4 linked regions of the Arabidopsis thaliana genome follow. The protein of the gene in region 2 interacts with the protein of the main gene of each other region in a pairwise test. Each region holds a gene or a part of one and is shown on either strand. Other genes may lie near its edges.

Region 1 (4,827 bases), on a different chromosome or scaffold from region 2:
ACCAAAAAGAAATTATAACGGAAAATTAAAGATGAATCCGAATAAATAATTGTTGAGTAGAAATAAAGAAAAATAAAAAATAGAGAAGGTGAAAGAAGATGTAGAGCTCCCTTCAATCCAAAGAAGAGTAAAAGCCATTAAAGGGCAAGTTAAAGCTCCTGAGATATGCAATCCATATAACCAAATCCTTTTTTACTTTACAAGGATTAGGGCTTATGGGATCCATAGCTTAGCAGCTTTTCTTTACCCTGCTCAACTCATGTTTGAACTTTAAGGAGCTCTACTTCCATCGTCAGATCAAGATCTATCGAAAAACAAAGTATCTTGTCAAATATATTATGGATCTGACATAAGCAAACTGTAAAGACCTTTAACTCTTCATAAAACAATGAGAAAGTTTTGATGAGAACGTGGATTAACAAAAACACCAAAAGAGGTAAATCTCTTACATTAGAGCTATGAAGGAGATATAAAGACAGAACAAAAGAGAGGAGGAACCCTAATTATTAACCCTAAACATACTTAGAGAGAAGGAAAGAGAGAGAGAGAAGAGGCCACGTCATGTTTTGGAAGAAATGATAGATAGAGAGTCGTAATTATAGTGGTTTAGATATTCGTGATAGAAGAATAAAAAGAAAAGAAAAAAAGGAACAGGTGGGTGCATCTGAAAAGACATGGGAAGGGTCTGACATTGTTTGTGTTAGATTCCCTACGCGTCACATGCGTCCTTCTCGGCTTTTGTGCTTCACTCTTTTTTTTTTTGGGTAAAGATAATAAAAATAACAATTATTATCGTTCCTGCCAACTACTAGTCCACTACATTTTTAAGATGTAACTTTGAAAATGAATTTGGCCGACCATTCTTTATTTCTTTTAGAAAATAATGTACAAGTGTTTCCGTTTGGTGACCTAATTCTAAATCATTTGTTAGCCCTAACAACTAGAAATTTCAACACGAAATAGTGAAATAGGTTGATGTACGGTCAGGATTATAAGTCTGATGATGTGGGCACGAAAGCAGGTAATTATTTCTCTGTCTGAGCAGAATCTATTGCTAGATTTATTACAACGAACTTGTCTTATTACCCTCACGAGTCTCGTCTCTTTCACAATTCAATGGCTTATTTTTAAGTGTGTTTTTTTATCCATCGTGTAAGTTTTTTTTTGAGTTGTTTAAATAAAAATTTGTATGATGAAAAATGTTCACTAGCAAAATACTTGACCCTGAAGTATCCTAAATTTTTCTGGTTCATACTCAAATGTTAGGCTTACTTTGTTTTCTTTGGTCACCTAAAAAAAAGTGGACTGATCAGCCTAATTATTTGTGCAAACTTTAATGATTGGGCTGCATCTCTTTCTTATGAGCCCATTATATGGGCCCAGAAGTTAACAGTTGCTTGTCTAACCTTCTCGGAATAGTTATTTGGGCCTTATATTTGGGCTTGATTCCACGCTTCATGAAACGGAAGTTAATCCGGTAGTGTTCTCCTGGTCCATGCTGCGGAAAATATGAGCAAGGTTAATTTGGCAACTTGTTGATGCAGCTTTTTATTTTCTTGGATTTTTTTTTTAATTTCTAAGTATGTTTAGGCAATGTTCCAATATTCATACAGCTAAAAAAATGTTAATATTCACAATCATCTTTTGTTTAACCACTAACTTATAACATTTTAAACCGAAGAATAATTGACGAGTCAATGTTGAGTAAACCGGAACAATTTTGCTTTTCATTTATAAACCTTTAAACGACGTCGTTACGATAGACGCTTCCAGCTTCGTTTTATTTCTAGCTTTAGAGCGTCTCTTTCCTTTTTCGTTTACTTTTCAATATTTTCCCCTAAAAATGTCGATTCCTTCTGTAATTGCTCTAACGGCTACTTTTTCTCCAGAGCATCATAAGATACCTCAACGTTAACGATAACAAATTAATTAAGATCAGTTTCGATCAATTGCTTGTGATCCGATTAGAGAGTTCCGGAGATGGAACAGCCGAAGAAAGTTGCTGATAGGTATCTAAAGCGAGAGGTTCTTGGTCAAGGTACTTATGGAGTCGTCTTCAAAGCTACTGATACAAAGGTGAAGATGATTCCTCTCTCAATTCTTCATATTTTTTGTCGATCCCATCGAAACTAGGGTTCCAATTCTGTCGTGTGTCTTTTGACGTGTCTCTTCCTGGGAACAATTTGGTTAAATCTGATAGCTCTTAGGTTTTAAATCAGCTAAAGTTTCGATCTTTACACTAATATGTGTTCTTAGAAGTCAAAGTTTGCATTTTTATGTTCTTAATGGATTTAAAGTGTGTAGTTTTTGTTTAAGTTTGTATAAGGAAGCTGATTTGTTTTGTTGTGGCAATTTGTAGAATGGAGAAACTGTAGCGATCAAGAAAATAAGACTTGGTAAAGAGAAAGAAGGTGTGAATGTAACAGCTCTTAGAGAAATCAAATTACTTAAAGAGCTTAAGCATCCACATATAATTGAGTTGATTGATGCGTTTCCTCACAAGGAGAATTTGCACATCGTGTTTGAGTTCATGGAGACTGATCTCGAAGCAGTTATCCGAGATCGTAATCTCTATCTTTCGCCTGGTGATGTCAAATCTTACCTCCAAATGATATTGAAAGGTCTTGAATATTGCCATGGCAAATGGGTTCTGCACAGGTACTATCATTGGAACTTAGAAGCAGAACTTGTTCTATCTCTAATAAGGTCTGTTTTGATTTAAACTTATGGATGATCATTCGTATTTGTTTCAGAGATATGAAGCCAAACAACTTGTTGATAGGACCCAATGGACAGCTGAAACTTGCAGATTTTGGGTTAGCACGTATATTTGGTAGCCCAGGTCGTAAGTTTACCCACCAGGTATGCTTTGTTTGTTGTGACAATGCTATTTATGTAGTAGTTCTGCTATCTTTCGTATCTTGATGTCCTTTAGCAATTTTCATAGGTGTTTGCTAGATGGTATAGAGCACCTGAACTTTTGTTTGGTGCAAAACAATATGATGGTGCAGTTGATGTTTGGGCTGCTGGCTGCATTTTTGCTGAACTTCTATTACGCAGACCATTTCTTCAGGTGAACCTCCATTTTGATTGTGTAGTAATCCAGTGCATCTGTCTACTTGTTTATCTAACTTACTTATTCCATTGCAGGGAAACAGTGATATTGATCAATTAAGCAAAATCTTTGCTGCCTTTGGGACTCCAAAAGCAGATCAGTGGCCTGACATGATCTGCCTTCCTGATTATGTAGAGTATCAATTTGTCCCTGCTCCTTCTTTACGTTCTTTACTCCCAACGGTTAGTGAGGATGCTTTAGATTTGTTGTCAAAGATGTTCACCTATGACCCCAAGTCTAGAATATCGATTCAGCAGGCTCTAAAACACAGGTACCTAAAAATCTCCCCTATGGATAATGCATAAGAACAGGTTATTTAGTTTTGTTCTCAAACCTTGATTTCTTTTTAAAGGTACTTCACATCTGCACCTTCACCTACTGACCCTTTAAAGCTCCCAAGACCAGTTTCCAAGCAAGATGCTAAGTCATCTGATAGTAAACTTGAAGCCATTAAAGTGCTGTCACCAGCACATAAGTTTAGAAGAGTGATGCCTGACCGAGGAAAGTCTGGTAATGGTTTCAAGGACCAGAGTGTTGATGTCATGAGACAAGCTAGCCATGATGGACAAGCACCAATGTCTTTAGATTTCACCATCTTAGCTGAGCGGCCACCAAACCGACCAACCATCACCAGGTAAAAACAATTGGTTTTATTACAGTCAGTTCTTGGTCAGCTTAAAAAATGAAAACTTTTGATGAATTCTTGATTTTTGGATTTGCAGTGCAGATAGATCTCATCTGAAGAGGAAACTTGATCTCGAGTTCCTATAGGATATCGCGTAACAGGCTTCTTCTTGACGTCGTTCTTCAGGTTCCTATAGCCTATAGGATCTCTCTTACTGGTTGGTTCCGTTCAGTAATTCCTGAAATTTTTCATATCACAACTAGTGATGACGAATAGTTTGAATCATTCTTTCTGTCTAAAATAAAGAATATAAAGCACAGATGATTAACTAATCATCATGTACACCCTTCATAGAAAAATCTCTGTTTTTGGCCTATGTTTAGAAGAGAGCTCTGATCCCAAACTCATTCTTCGTTCATTTCCAATTTAAAGTCCAGAATTTTTAGTATCGAACACGTTGGTGTATTACATATATGAATTTTTGATCTCATTACACTAATGCTCGATGAGAATGGAAACACATCCAAGGAATTTCAATAACTATGTAACAATGGTAAAGTTTTCTAAAGACCAATGTACGGCCACATCAATTAGAAATTCCCAATAAGTTCATATGGGCATACAAGAATAAAGCACTCATTAAGCTCATTTGCAACTGCTTTTTCCTCAGACGTTTATTGATCATTGGACGTCACCATCTTTGTCATCTGAAGATCCGACTCTGTTCGTAGCTTTCTTTGCCTAATCATGTAAAACAAGAAACAGAATCACATTATGGCAGAGTTATTATACATATAAAACTGAGCCGATCAGTTAAAAGGTTTTACCTCTTTATCCCAGTTTGTGAATATAGTGACTAAGGAAAGACACAACACTTGAACAGACAATGCTGTTACGATTCCCAGCCAAAGCCCCTACAATATGAAAATACCACAAAATAAAAGTTTCTATAAAACTAGTCTTGTGTTTGAACTTGAGAATGAGAAGGAGAGTTTAAGATTATTACCCGACCACCAATGTGGAAATGGAAACCAAGTAACAATCCTAATGGAACTCCAACAAGATAATATGATCCAAGATTCACACA
Region 2 (4,601 bases):
ATCTAGGGGGGAGATCGAACAAATGCTGCTGATACTTCACTAACATACACATAAAAGTTGCAGATTTTGGATCTTGCGTCTTCTTGGTTTTATACCCTTTTCTTACATCTAGTCTTATAAATATTAATACTATAATAGAAAAATTAATTATCCTATATATTGAATGACTCGGCTCCAAAGCCATGCGCCTATATATACAAGTCTTTTTATTTTTTAAAAAATTTGTCAAAAAAGGGACCAGAAACATATAAAGATGGGAGCCTCATTTGCTGATGGATAAATAAATATTTATTTGATTTTAAGTTTGTTCAAGACTAATTATAGTACAAATTAGTAAATTGTTGTTCTTTTTTTTTCTTAACATATTACATATTGTATAGTATAATTCCACTTTCATCCAATTGGATAATCAGTTATAATTCGGATGGTTTACGATACATCGGATTCTGCTTTCAATTTTTCTTGTATACATCAAAATTTAACACATGATAAGGTTTTGGAACCCGCTAACGAGACCTACCTATTTTTACAATAAATATACTCATTCAGTATTTGTCTATATTTCTACCTACAATCTATGTGAATTTGCTTACGTATATCTACTCTTCTTATCTACGTACTGTATAAATTTTCATACACAATCTTCGTGTCTCGTAACATCTACTACATGAGTCATATACAACTTTCTCACCTAACATGGAAGTCATTACTCGTAGGCCTAATTACTCGTTACCGTGAATATAACTATAAAAAGTGAGGAAACAAAAAGATTTACGGAGAAGAAAAATTGAATAATAATTGCAATAGAACTATAGGAAAATTTGTATATGACTTAGCAAAAATAATGATATGGAACTAAATTAAAAAGTTGAGAGGATTTTTTTTAGTGGGAATGGTATGGTGTTTCCCCCACCAATTCCTAAAAAAAACTTATTGCAAAATTGCTCTTTTGATCTTTATTTTCTTCCATTGAAAATGAATTTCTAGGTCTGAATTTAATTGAAGTCAATAAGTGGGAAATAACTAAACTAGCTATTCCTCTGTTTTCTGTTCACAATTCTATTTTGAATAAAGTACATTTTAATTCAAACCTCTTAAAATAGAAGTTACTACAAAAGCAACAAAGGGGGTGGTACGTGGAATACACTAATGAGAAATGTTAATAAGAACGTTGTATTTGGAATGGGATTTAACTTTCTGCACATAAATTTCAATGGGATCATTATTCTTTCCTAACTAAATGATTGATACAAATTCAAAGGATCCTATAAATCTTATCTCAGAGACCGAAAGAAAATTCCATTTGTACAAAACAACAAATAAATAGAAGAAAAAGTTTGATGATAACATTCTTAACAGAATCCGTGAACTTTGTTCATGTAAGAAATCTAGAGTGTAATCAAGGAAGTTCAACAGGTAAAAACAATGACATTTATATATGGACGTTCTTAAAACGTGTAAATCTCATATATTTAAGACAGCCACAATAGTTCTAAACGCTCTCCATTCCTGCATTAAGTATTTATTTCTATTAATAACATTTAATTTATCAATAAAGTTCACATTATCATAGACAACTCCGAAATTAAAAAAGTTTTTTTAAAATAAATTTGCTTAAACTTAAATAATCAACAAAATACAAAACAGTTTAATGGAAATAGCAGAAATCTTTTTCAAGAAAATACAATACTATTAGATAAAAACAATTTTGTTAAATTAAAAAAAACCCATAATTGACTAGCATCAAAAAGTCTTCAAACACAAGTAATCCTGCTGGATATTAAAAAAATAAAAGAGTAATCATTCCTTTAAAAAATGTGATTATTTGTCGACCCAAAAAAAAAGAGTGATGATATTATACATATACTCAAATATTAGTGAACAAATAAAACCTAAAATTAATCAAATAATAAAGATTTTTAATTTAAATGTAACCGCTAAATAACGCCCCCTCTCTCTCCCCCACTTATTTTTGGCGGCACCAGACGCGGGAGACTCTCTCTCTCTCTCCACTCTCTCTCTCTTTTTTCTTTGTTTTTTCGTCACTTGCTCCTAAAATCCCAAATCGAGTAATGGAAGAAAAATCAAATACGATGATTTAGCTTCCCTTCTTATTCTTCCCCTATATTCACTGCGATAACTTTGCCTCTCATCTCATAAATTAAAAAAAAAACACTCTTCTCACAAATTCTTTATAATTCCCCTTTTGATGTGTACGGACACACCACCGAAGCAGAAGCAGAAGAAGAAGAACACTTCTATCTCCGCCGCCGCCGTCGTCTTCATCATCATCGCCGCCGTTAAATGGGTGAGCCTAAAGACAGTCTCGCTCTCTTCCTCTGCCACGAATCGGAGTCTTCTCTAAACGAAGACGACGACGAGACGATTGAGAGATCTGATAAGCAAGAACCTCACTTTACTACTACGATCGATGATGAAGATTATGTGGCAGACCTTGTTCTTAAAGAGAATCTCCGATTCGAAACCCTACCCTCTAAAACGACGTCGTCTTCCGATAGATTGATTGCCATCGATTGGATTCTCACTGTCCGTAATCTCAAAAAGATTTTCCCTTTTTTGATCTTTGTCTTAATCTCTGATTGATTGGTTCTTTGTCTTAATCTCAGACAAGAACAAGATTTGGGTTCCAACATCAAACAGCTTACATTGCAATCTCATACTTCGATCTGTTTCTCCACAAAAGATTCATCGGTGTAAGTTTCAATCTCCAGTTTCATTTATCTATAAAAATCTCACCTTTATCTTCAGATTAAAGCTTAAAGATGGTTTCTTTGTAGTTGCAGAAAGATGAAACATGGGCGATGCGATTGTTATCAGTAGCTTGTTTATCATTAGCTGCTAAAATGGAGGAACGTATTGTTCCTGGTTTATCACAATACCCTCAAGATCATGACTTCGTTTTCAAACCCGATGTCATTCGTAAAACTGAACTGTTGATTCTATCCACATTGGACTGGAAGATGAACTTGATCACTCCTTTTCATTACTTCAACTACTTCCTTGCTAAAATCTCTCAGGACAACCATTCTGTTTCTAAAGACTTGGTGTTGTTAAGATCCTCTGATTCTCTTCTTGCTTTAACTAAAGGTAACTCTATTAAGAAACACATTTTTTTCTCAAGATCAAAGCATTTATTGATATCACATTTTTGTTTCCATGTAGAGATAAGTTTTACGGAGTATCGACAGTTTGTTGTTGCTGCTGTTACTACATTGCTAGCTTCTTCTTCTACCTCATCGGATATTAGATTGACTAGAGAAGAGATAGCTAACAAGTTTGGTTCGATCTCTTGGTGGACTTCTAATGAGAATGTATAAATCTTGGTGTCTTTTTATTCGATTTTGATTGTTTGATGTTGATGATCATAATCTTAGGAGTGTTGGGTTTTGTAGGAAAATGTATATTTGTGTTATCAGAGAACGCTAGAGATTGAGGAGAGGAAACATATGACACCTCCACCGGAAATAGCGGTTTCTCGCGAACCGCCGGCTTCAGGAAGTGGCGCTAAACGCCGATTGTCTTTTGATGATTCTGATCAAAGTTCTCCACCAGCCAAGAGAATGCGTAGGCTATGAAGAGAGAGTTTCTTTCTTCTTCAAGTTTTGGCTTATATTGATTTGGTTTCTTTTTTGGCAACATATTGATTTGGTTTTATATTCAATCATTTGATTATAGAGAAAAAATGGTCTGAATACATCGGTTATTTCAATTTTTATGAAGTAACTCATATAGGTTCTTCGTATGAAGGTCTTTGGATTTCTTGGGGATGAAATGTGACTATTAAAACATTAGGGGCTTCTCTGAGAGAATCTAGGAAATATGAGGAGTGAATGTAAATAAATAAGAAAAACAGAAAGGGTGAATAGTTTTAGGCCAATAGTTGCAGTGCCAGTGATTTGGTTTCACATCCTCTTTTATTTTTTTATTGTCTTATTTTTTTATTTGTTATGTTGCAATTTCTTTTTCATTTGATATTACAAAATTTTGTCATAGATTTTTTTTTTTTTTTGGCATCAAAGTCCATTTTTTTAACCTCTTTAACTTTCAAAAGGGCTCATTCATAGCAAATAATAAATGAAAAAACTCTTTTTAAGGTAAGGTAAAATTATTTTATATTTGATAAATATATTTATTTTCTTATCTTTATTGACACTTTTGGTCATCTCCAAAGTGAATCCATCTGTATGCTACTCAACATGTTATGTCCATTCCACAAAGTCCTTCGTGATCTTTTCATGTTCTCAAATCTCAATATATAATATCTTGGAAAAAAATTAATCAAATAAAAAGAAAATTTTCTTGTTTAGGAAAAATCATCGTTACTTATCTTTGATAGATAACTACTTTTACGAATTGACAATCAGTCGATCACGATAAACTAAAACGGATATATATTTTGCTCCAATAAGTTTTCTTTAGCATTATAGAAACCAACAACTTGTAGTGGAACTGTGGAAGTACTTTGGATCAATGATTGGATCTAAAGATGAAACCCCAATTTATACAGAAATTTGCATGTGATGTTTTTAAGTTAACGTACTATTCTACGCGCAAGTCAAAAGTGCATCGTACTCGTACAT
Region 3 (3,357 bases), on a different chromosome or scaffold from region 2:
AAACTACATTATATGTTTAGCTCACTATTTTATTTTGAATATCTCATAAGTATGTATATATACTTACACATTGTTATAGTGAGTGTAAAAAAGAGAGAGACAGTTTAGTAATGATTGAGTATGCAGCTCGTGGGCACATTATTAAATTGAATGGTATGATGGATATGCGCAGACACTGTCTTGTGTGAACTCAAGAATCGATACAGAACGACGGCATTAAAAAAAAAGAAAAAATTCAATATAAGACGAAAATGATGATGGAAAAAAATTCTTTTATTTTTACCAACGAAATGTATGCGATATGAACTAGTAGTATTTAATTCACTGTGTGAATTAGTAGTAATATTTAAGCATGTGAATATGTTTGTGTACGTATTGTATTGCCACAACAAAACAGCATGTCGCAGCATTGATTTCATTATCACCTAACCGTTAAATACGTCATGGCCCTAGACTTAATGTATTTTAGACTTAATGTATTTTATACCTTATTTTGATATGTGTACGGTCGACCCCCTCACAAAATTGAAATATTACGACTATGCATTGAAAAACTATACACAACTACATTGTCAAATACTGATAAGATCTTAACACAGAAACACATATTATCACTAATAATGTAACGTGACAACATTACATTGCTTTACACACATTTTTTTTAATCTATTTAAGATGATTGGATGATATTGTCATTTTTCTCTATAAATCTAAGATTTTTATTGTCTTTATAATCTAAATTCGCAATTATTACAACAAAAAATTATCAAATCTAAATTTATTTTTAAAATCCACGATAATTATTCTCATTCTATTTCATTGGAAACACCAACCAATTATTTTAAAAAACAGAAAACATATTAATTAAAAAATTGAATTCAAATTCTATTTACCATTCTAAAAAAAAAATTATGCACTGATTCTGTAAACGTTGACACCGTTAACGTAGTCGTAGATATGCACTGATTCTGTAAACGTTGACACCGTTAATGTAATCACATCGAATAAAAGACATATGTTGATCGTGTAAAGGTATAAGATACTCGATCTATAACATCGTTGTCAAATTCCATGTTGCATATACATTATATTGCTTTACACACATTTTTTTATCTATTTGATCGTCTGTGAATTAATATGATAATTTGATGGTATTATTGTTATCTTTATAATATAAATTCGTAATTATTATAACAAAAAATAAACAGTTTTATCTTAATATCCACAATAATTATTTTCATTCTCGTTGATTTATTGGAAAAGCCAGCCAATTATATTAAAATAAATAAAAACAACATATTAATTCAAAAAAATTTGAATTCAAAAAAATTTATCATTCTAAAGTAACTAGATATGCACTAATTGCACTGATTTTGTAAACTTTGAAACTATTAATGTAATCGTAACGAATAAAAGACACGTATCAATCGTGTAAGGTATAAAATACTCGATTTTTAACGGCGCCGTCAAATTCTCCGTTACATATTAAAAGAATTACTATTCCTACTTCACACGAGGCTTTATATGAAAATGACAAGAGTTAATCGTGGCCGTTAACAAATTACGATCAAAACGAAGATCGTCACCATCTTATAACAGAATAACCCAAATGGTACGCGAGCTAGAGACTCTCTAGTAGAGAGAAAGAGAGAGAAACACAAACACGCACACATAACGAGTGATTTTAGAGAGAGATAGAGATCTGGAAGGTGACGTCGTAGGAGATTATGGCGGCGGTTAGGAGAAGAGAACGAGATGTGGTTGAAGAGAATGGAGTTACGACGACGACGGTGAAACGAAGGAAGATGGAGGAGGAAGTGGATTTAGTGGAATCTAGGATAATTCTGTCTCCGTGTGTACAGGCGACGAATCGCGGTGGAATTGTGGCGAGAAATTCAGCAGGAGCGTCGGAGACGAGTGTTGTTATAGTACGACGGCGAGATTCTCCTCCGGTTGAAGAACAGTGTCAAATCGAAGAAGAAGATTCGTCGGTTTCGTGTTGTTCTACATCGGAAGAGAAATCGAAACGGAGAATCGAATTTGTAGATCTTGAGGTGACAACGAAAGCATTATTTATCGAAACTGAATTTTGATTTACAGATTTTGAAATTTTTGAATTCGTTTTTCCAGGAAAATAACGGTGACGATCGTGAAACAGAAACGTCGTGGATTTACGATGATTTGAATAAGAGGTTTGTTTAATTTGTTACAGATATTAAAATTTTGAATCAGTAACAAACATTTCTATAAAATGTCTTTGATTTTTTTGTGTATAGTGAGGAATCGATGAACATGGATTCTTCTTCGGTGGCTGTTGAAGATGTAGAGTCTCGCCGCAGGTTAAGGAAGAGTCTCCATGAGACGGTGAAGGAAGCTGAGTTAGAAGACTTTTTTCAGGTGGCGGAGAAAGATCTTCGGAATAAGTTGTTGGAATGTTCTATGAAGTAAGTTTTTTTTTTTTGATTCAAATCTTTTAATCGAATTTTTGAAACTGATAATGAATTTGTTGTTAGGTATAACTTCGATTTCGAGAAAGATGAGCCACTTGGTGGAGGAAGATACGAGTGGGTTAAATTGAATCCATGAAGAAGACGATGATGATAATGATGATCATTGTTTTCACCAAAGTACTTATTATTTCTCTTCTGTAATAATCTTTGCTTTGATTTTTCTTTTAACAAAATCCAAATGTAGATATCTTTCTCTCGAATAATCAATAACATGTAATTCAACTTTTGTTTGTACTTCCTTGAGGTAATTAATTAGATTCGTGTTTTTCTCGATTAATAAACTATAAGTTTATAACTCTAAGAGTAATTATAATTGTTACTGAAAACTAAATAGCTTCTATTATTTCTATGTATCAATTATCATACAGTATTTGATTTTTTTTTTTTAACAATGAAAAGAGAGTGTAGAGCAGAACAAAAAAGGGTCACGGCTGACGTGGTAAAGGAATATAACTGTTTATTGATCAGGCTTTTTCAGTAAAAAAGTTACTATTTTATTCTCACTTGGATTGGATTGTAGGTGCTACTCTAGTGATTAACTACGAACTTGTTTGTGCTTTACAAGTTATTAAACTAAAATATTGTACTATCTCCTTGCATTTTACAAATTTAGCTATTTGAAATTATATATTTTTTAAAAATAAAATAGCTTAAATATACACTTCCAGTTTTTCCCTCTCAATTTCTTTCAACAAAGTAACTATTTTGAGTTGTATTATTTTATTTTCCTAATTTATCTATCTAATATAACATGGATATTAGATATGGTTGGTGTACCTAACGCCTATAATTTATACTCGATTAGCAACAACCAAAAAAAAGAAGAAGAAGAAGAAGAAGTTGAGTC
Region 4 (4,795 bases), 3.4 Mb from region 2:
GTTTTTTGGAGTTGGGGTCTCTAAATTTCCGGGATAATCACAATGTAAAACCGATGCTATTAATCTTGGTGTGCCTCGCTGTATACTGTTGCTTGTAGTCTCAACACTCCGAGAGCATGTATGCATCTTTCTATGCACTCTAACACTCCAAAAATGAGATTTTTTAGTTCTCGCAACTCTTAGATACCAAGTACACCCTTTAGAAGCTTGGCGGCATCGTAGCATAAGTCTCAACGGGTCTGACTTAATAGTATAGACTCCAAAAACTTCTTTCTTTGCAGCTCTGTTAACCAATTCCCACACAGCCTCCCTTGAACAAAATTCTTGACCAATTTCAATACCCGTACCATCATCCCATTCTATAACCTGCGGAGTAACTTCTACACTTCGTGGAATATCGTGAATATCATCATAATCAATCCTATCATCCTCATCTTGTTCCTCAACAGAATTCACCGGCCTTTCCATCGGCCTTTCGATAGCCACGATCTCCGTACCTACTACATTCTCACAATCATTCACATCATTATCATATCCATCATGCACCATCTCACATACTTCATTTAAAACATCATCCTCTATTACATTTACACCAACTGAACTTCGACGCTCCGGTACAGAAATTTCCTCTCTCCTCTCAACTCCTATACCATTTAATTCCTCCACATGCAAAACAGGAATCCGACTCTCTTCATCAGATTCTGTTAAAAATATGAAGACATCCTCATCATTTACAATATATGTCTCTCTCCTAACTTTAGACAGATTGTAACTCAGTTTCAACTTGACAGAAGCTTCATCAATCGCAACCTTCTTCATGATCTTGTCAACTAACATCGAATAGCTAATCTTCTCCAAACTACTCGTCTTAAACGATATAACATATAGTGAATTTTTACCAATCCACTCATTCACTTCAGAATAGTATCCTCCAAAGTCAAAATGTACCTTAGTGTGGATCTTCTTCTTCATCGCTCCTGAAAATACAACCAGTTCAACTCCAATCAAACATTTTAATAGTTATACCACATGTACTCTTATCATACGTTGAAATCAATCTCTCGTCGCACTCGTCTCTACTGAACCTAATTCGTTACCTTTCAATTGATTTCCAATGTTAATACATACCTATTCGTTAAACTAATTGGTTAATCTAAACTTTGCAAACACAAACCCCCCAAATCTTTAATATGAAATCTCGGAATTCAAATTCAACTCACATTCAACCTACATTCCTTTGCTCATCACCTCAAATAACGTTTCGGCAACCTCTAATCGATTACTCTTTACTTTGCAAACCAATCATCAAACTATCAAATTGAATCGAGCTGGGAATTATATAGAATTCAAAATCCCAATCTAAAATCACAATGCACCAATGTCAAAGGAAATATGAGAAGAAACTGACCTAATTCGTGGCTTTTACGCCGGATTTCAAGTCGGCGGCATGAGGAAATCGATGGTGGCCGACGAAGAAGATGAACGTCGACCAAAGAAGAAGAACACGACGACGAAGAGGAGAATCTCCGAACTCGATTTTCTTTATTTAGCTTTTGAATTTCTTTTTCATTTTTTTAATCAACTCATTAAGGGTACAACTGGTATATCACATTTTCGGTGGCATTCAGATTAACTTATGGCAGTCCAGATCAGTTTTTTCAAAAAAGTGGCATAAGTGATAAAAGTCCCCCCCTGCGGTTTGGTTTCTTGTCCGCTCCAAAACTTGTGAGGGCATTTTAGTCATTACAACATGGGAACTGGATTTTTAAACTGGTGAATTCGTTAGCGTTTATGTGAATAATCATCCATCATCAGGAAAGATCCGAAGAAAAGCGACGCCGTTTTAAAGGAGATGGATAAACAACCGGCGACCAGTTGGAGTATCCATACCCGGCCGGAGATAATCGCCAAGTACGAGATCTTCGAGCGAGTCGGATCCGGAGCTTACGCCGACGTTTACAGAGCTCGCCGTCTCTCCGACGGTCTAATCGTCGCGCTCAAGGAGATTTTCGATTACCAATCTGCGTTCCGGGAGATTGACGCGCTCACCATCCTCAATGGATCTCCTAATGTAGTTGTTATGCACGAATACTTCTGGCGTGAGGAAGAGAACGCTGTGCTTGTGCTTGAGTTTCTTAGGTCGGATCTCGCTGCGGTGATCCGAGATGGTAAGAGGAAGAAGAAGGTAGAAGGAGGGGATGGATTCTCGGTTGGGGAGATTAAGAGATGGATGATTCAGATTTTAACCGGTGTTGATGCTTGTCATCGGAATTTGATTGTACATAGAGATTTGAAGCCTGGGAATATGTTGATTTCTGATGATGGAGTTCTTAAGCTTGCTGATTTTGGTCAGGTGAGATTATGATTGTTACTGATTGTGTTAGTTATTTCATTGTTTGATGCACAAATATGAGAAACCTCTGAATGAAAAATGCTTGGTTTGCTTGAAATTTGGAAGAGTTAGTGTAATCAAGTGGCTAGACCTTATCATTTAGTGTAATCTATGAGTTTCTAAATGTGTGTTGGCTTCTTGGTTCATATACAGGCTAGGATACTCATGGAGCATGATATTGTAGCTTCAGATGAAAACCAACAAGCTTACAAACTGGAAGACAAAGATGGAGAAACCAGCGAACCACCAGAAGTTATTCCTGATTATGAGAACTCACCTAGGCAAGGGTCTGATGGTCAGGAACGGGAAGCGATGAGTAAAGACGAGTACTTCCGACAGGTGGAAGAGCTCAAGGCTAAACAGGTTGTTAGAGATGATACTGATAAGGACTCGAATGTGCATGATGGAGACATATCTTGCCTTGCAACGTGCACTGTTAGTGAAATGGATGATGATCTCGGTAGGAACTCGTTTTCTTACGATGCTGACGAAGCAGTGGATGATACACAGGGTTTGATGACATCTTGTGTGGGAACCCGATGGTTTAGGCCACCAGAACTGCTCTATGGATCTACGATGTATGGGTTAGAGGTCGATCTATGGTCGCTTGGTTGTGTGTTTGCAGAACTCTTGTCTCTTGAGCCTTTGTTCCCAGGAATTTCAGATATTGATCAGATCAGCAGAGTGACCAATGTGCTGGGAAATTTAAATGAAGAGGTCTGGCCTGGTTGTGTTGATCTTCCAGACTACAAGTCAATCTCATTTGCTAAAGTAGAATCTCCTCTTGGTATTGAAGGATGCCTTCCCAACCATTCAGGGGATGTGATATCGCTGCTCAAGAAGCTTATCTGTTATGATCCAGCTAGTAGAGCTACTACTATGGAGATGCTGAATGACAAATATTTAAGTGAAGAGCCTCTTCCAGTTCCAGTTTCAGAGCTCTATGTGCCTCCGACAATGAGTGGACCAGATGAGGATTCTCCGAGAAAGTGGAATGATTACAGAGAAATGGATTCAGATTCAGATTTTGATGGCTTTGGACCCATGAATGTAAAGCCTACCAGTAGTGGATTTACAATAGAATTCCCCTGACCTTGGCATTTAAGGTACGCAGTCAAAAGCTCTGGCTCGCTTAAACACATAAATCAGTCTCTTCTCTCTCTCTCTTTCTTCTTCAAAGAGAATGGGTATATACCAAAACCTGACATGTGTTTCTTTAGGTCTTGATTGATGCAACACTCTTTGTTGTTTGAAGATCTTGTTACAGAATACCGCTTAGAAAATTGTTAACTTTTCGTTAGGACATTGTTTAGGTATCAATGGCGGCAAAAACTTTTGAAATTCGTTTGCTCATTGATCTCACAACTTTTTTTTGCGCTTTGTTTCTCTCATCGATCTCAGTTTTATGTGTTTATCTCTCCTTGGCAGAGTCCATGGTTGAGCATCTTGATCATCCCGACTTCCCCTGAATTCGCCTACTTTGTCAAAAATGTGTTGTGTGTGTGTGTGTGTTGTTCCTCTCTCTCTGCCTCCCTCGTATGAAAATGGTAACATTTACAATTGGAAAGTCGGTGTTAGCCTTTAGCTATTAGCTGAAGAGCTAGTTTTCTTGTTGCCCAGGCCATTCTTTACCCTATTTTTCATCTGAAGTAACAATGAAACAAAATCTATATATACTCGAGTTTTGCTTTCTAGGATCTGTATTTCTTAATTGTTTCTATATTTTGATCAATTTTGAACTTTTCATATCAAGTTATCAACATGTGTAGTAGCAACCCTTCAATAATGAGACCATGGAATAAAAGCCTATCCTATATGTCATCCAGTTTTTGCTAAGATAAATTATTTTCAGTTACCCAAATTACATAATCAAAACTGATATCATAAACAACAAAAATAGCACACACAAAAATCATAACTGAATCTGATTCTTCCAGAAATGTGAACTGTTGTTTACTATAAAAAGAAGAAAACCAGAACCACAATACATTTGACTCCATGAATCAGTCATACTAGTCCAACATACTAAATATAAAACTTAAGGGGCAATATTGAAAATTAGACAAAAGTTGATAGACCAAAAGATAAATTAATAACAGTTACCAGTATCTATCGCCAAGTCTCCCCTAGGGTTTTTTTTCTCTGAAACGGACATCGAGAAATTCCAGGAGTGAGTTTTGACAATCGGAGAGAAATGGGGTCGACAGAAAAAGAGCAGACGACGCAACATCACCCGCCTCACATCAGCAGTCTCGTCGTACGTCCCTCCGGAAGCAACGACAGAGAAGACGGCCGCAACGCCGCCGGAGACTATGAGCCCGGAGAAGTCTCTCGTGACCGGCCTTCGTTTAATCGCTCGGATCGGTATAAGGGTGACAATGGTGGTTCGTATCTCTTCTAAAC

Evidence for each region.
Region 1: the proteins of CYCD5;1 (region 2) and CDKD1;1 interact in a protein complementation assay, tested with the Arabidopsis thaliana proteins (one large-scale study listed by BioGRID).
Region 3: the proteins of CYCD5;1 (region 2) and KRP2 interact in a two-hybrid assay, tested with the Arabidopsis thaliana proteins (one large-scale study listed by BioGRID).
Region 4: the proteins of CYCD5;1 (region 2) and CAK1AT interact in a two-hybrid assay, tested with the Arabidopsis thaliana proteins (one large-scale study listed by BioGRID).

The regions. Positions count from the first base shown.
Region 1 is NC_003070.9:27,713,133-27,717,959, forward strand, and holds CDKD1;1 (cyclin-dependent kinase D1;1), read left to right. Parts: upstream 1-1,777; 5' UTR 1,778-1,980; coding exon 1,981-2,076; intron 2,077-2,359; coding exon 2,360-2,658; intron 2,659-2,753; coding exon 2,754-2,862; intron 2,863-2,947; coding exon 2,948-3,073; intron 3,074-3,150; coding exon 3,151-3,386; intron 3,387-3,467; coding exon 3,468-3,749; intron 3,750-3,837; coding exon 3,838-3,886; 3' UTR 3,887-4,288; downstream 4,289-4,827. Other genes in the region: AT1G73700 (MATE efflux family protein), read right to left, coding at 4,422-4,481, 4,568-4,654, 4,747-4,827.
Region 2 is NC_003075.7:17,677,193-17,681,793, forward strand, and holds CYCD5;1 (cyclin d5;1), read left to right. Parts: upstream 1-1,975; 5' UTR 1,976-2,304; coding exon 2,305-2,547; intron 2,548-2,627; coding exon 2,628-2,714; intron 2,715-2,798; coding exon 2,799-3,108; intron 3,109-3,183; coding exon 3,184-3,332; coding exon of another isoform or gene 3,333-3,338; exon of another isoform or gene 3,339-3,413; coding exon 3,414-3,596; 3' UTR 3,597-4,072; downstream 4,073-4,601.
Region 3 is NC_003074.8:18,798,781-18,802,137, forward strand, and holds KRP2 (KIP-related protein 2), read left to right. Parts: upstream 1-1,525; 5' UTR 1,526-1,727; coding exon 1,728-2,054; intron 2,055-2,130; coding exon 2,131-2,192; intron 2,193-2,276; coding exon 2,277-2,444; coding exon of another isoform or gene 2,445-2,448; exon of another isoform or gene 2,449-2,513; coding exon 2,514-2,586; 3' UTR 2,587-2,815; downstream 2,816-3,357. UniProt on the Arabidopsis thaliana protein: Binds and inhibits CYCD2-1/CDKA-1 complex kinase activity. Regulates cell division which is crucial for plant growth, development and morphogenesis. May regulate early lateral root initiation by blocking the G1/S phase transition.
Region 4 is NC_003075.7:14,286,619-14,291,413, forward strand, and holds CAK1AT (CDK-activating kinase 1AT), read left to right. Parts: upstream 1-1,778; 5' UTR 1,779-1,852; coding exon 1,853-2,353; intron 2,354-2,545; coding exon 2,546-3,484; 3' UTR 3,485-3,498; exon of another isoform or gene 3,499-3,820; 3' UTR 3,821-4,295; downstream 4,296-4,795. Other genes in the region: AT4G28990 (RNA-binding protein-like protein), read left to right, coding at 4,587-4,776. UniProt on the Arabidopsis thaliana protein: CDK-activating kinase that modulates CDKD-2 and CDKD-3 activities by phosphorylation of the T-loop. Activates CDKD-2 C-terminal domain (CTD) kinase activity. Activates CDKA-1 probably by phosphorylation.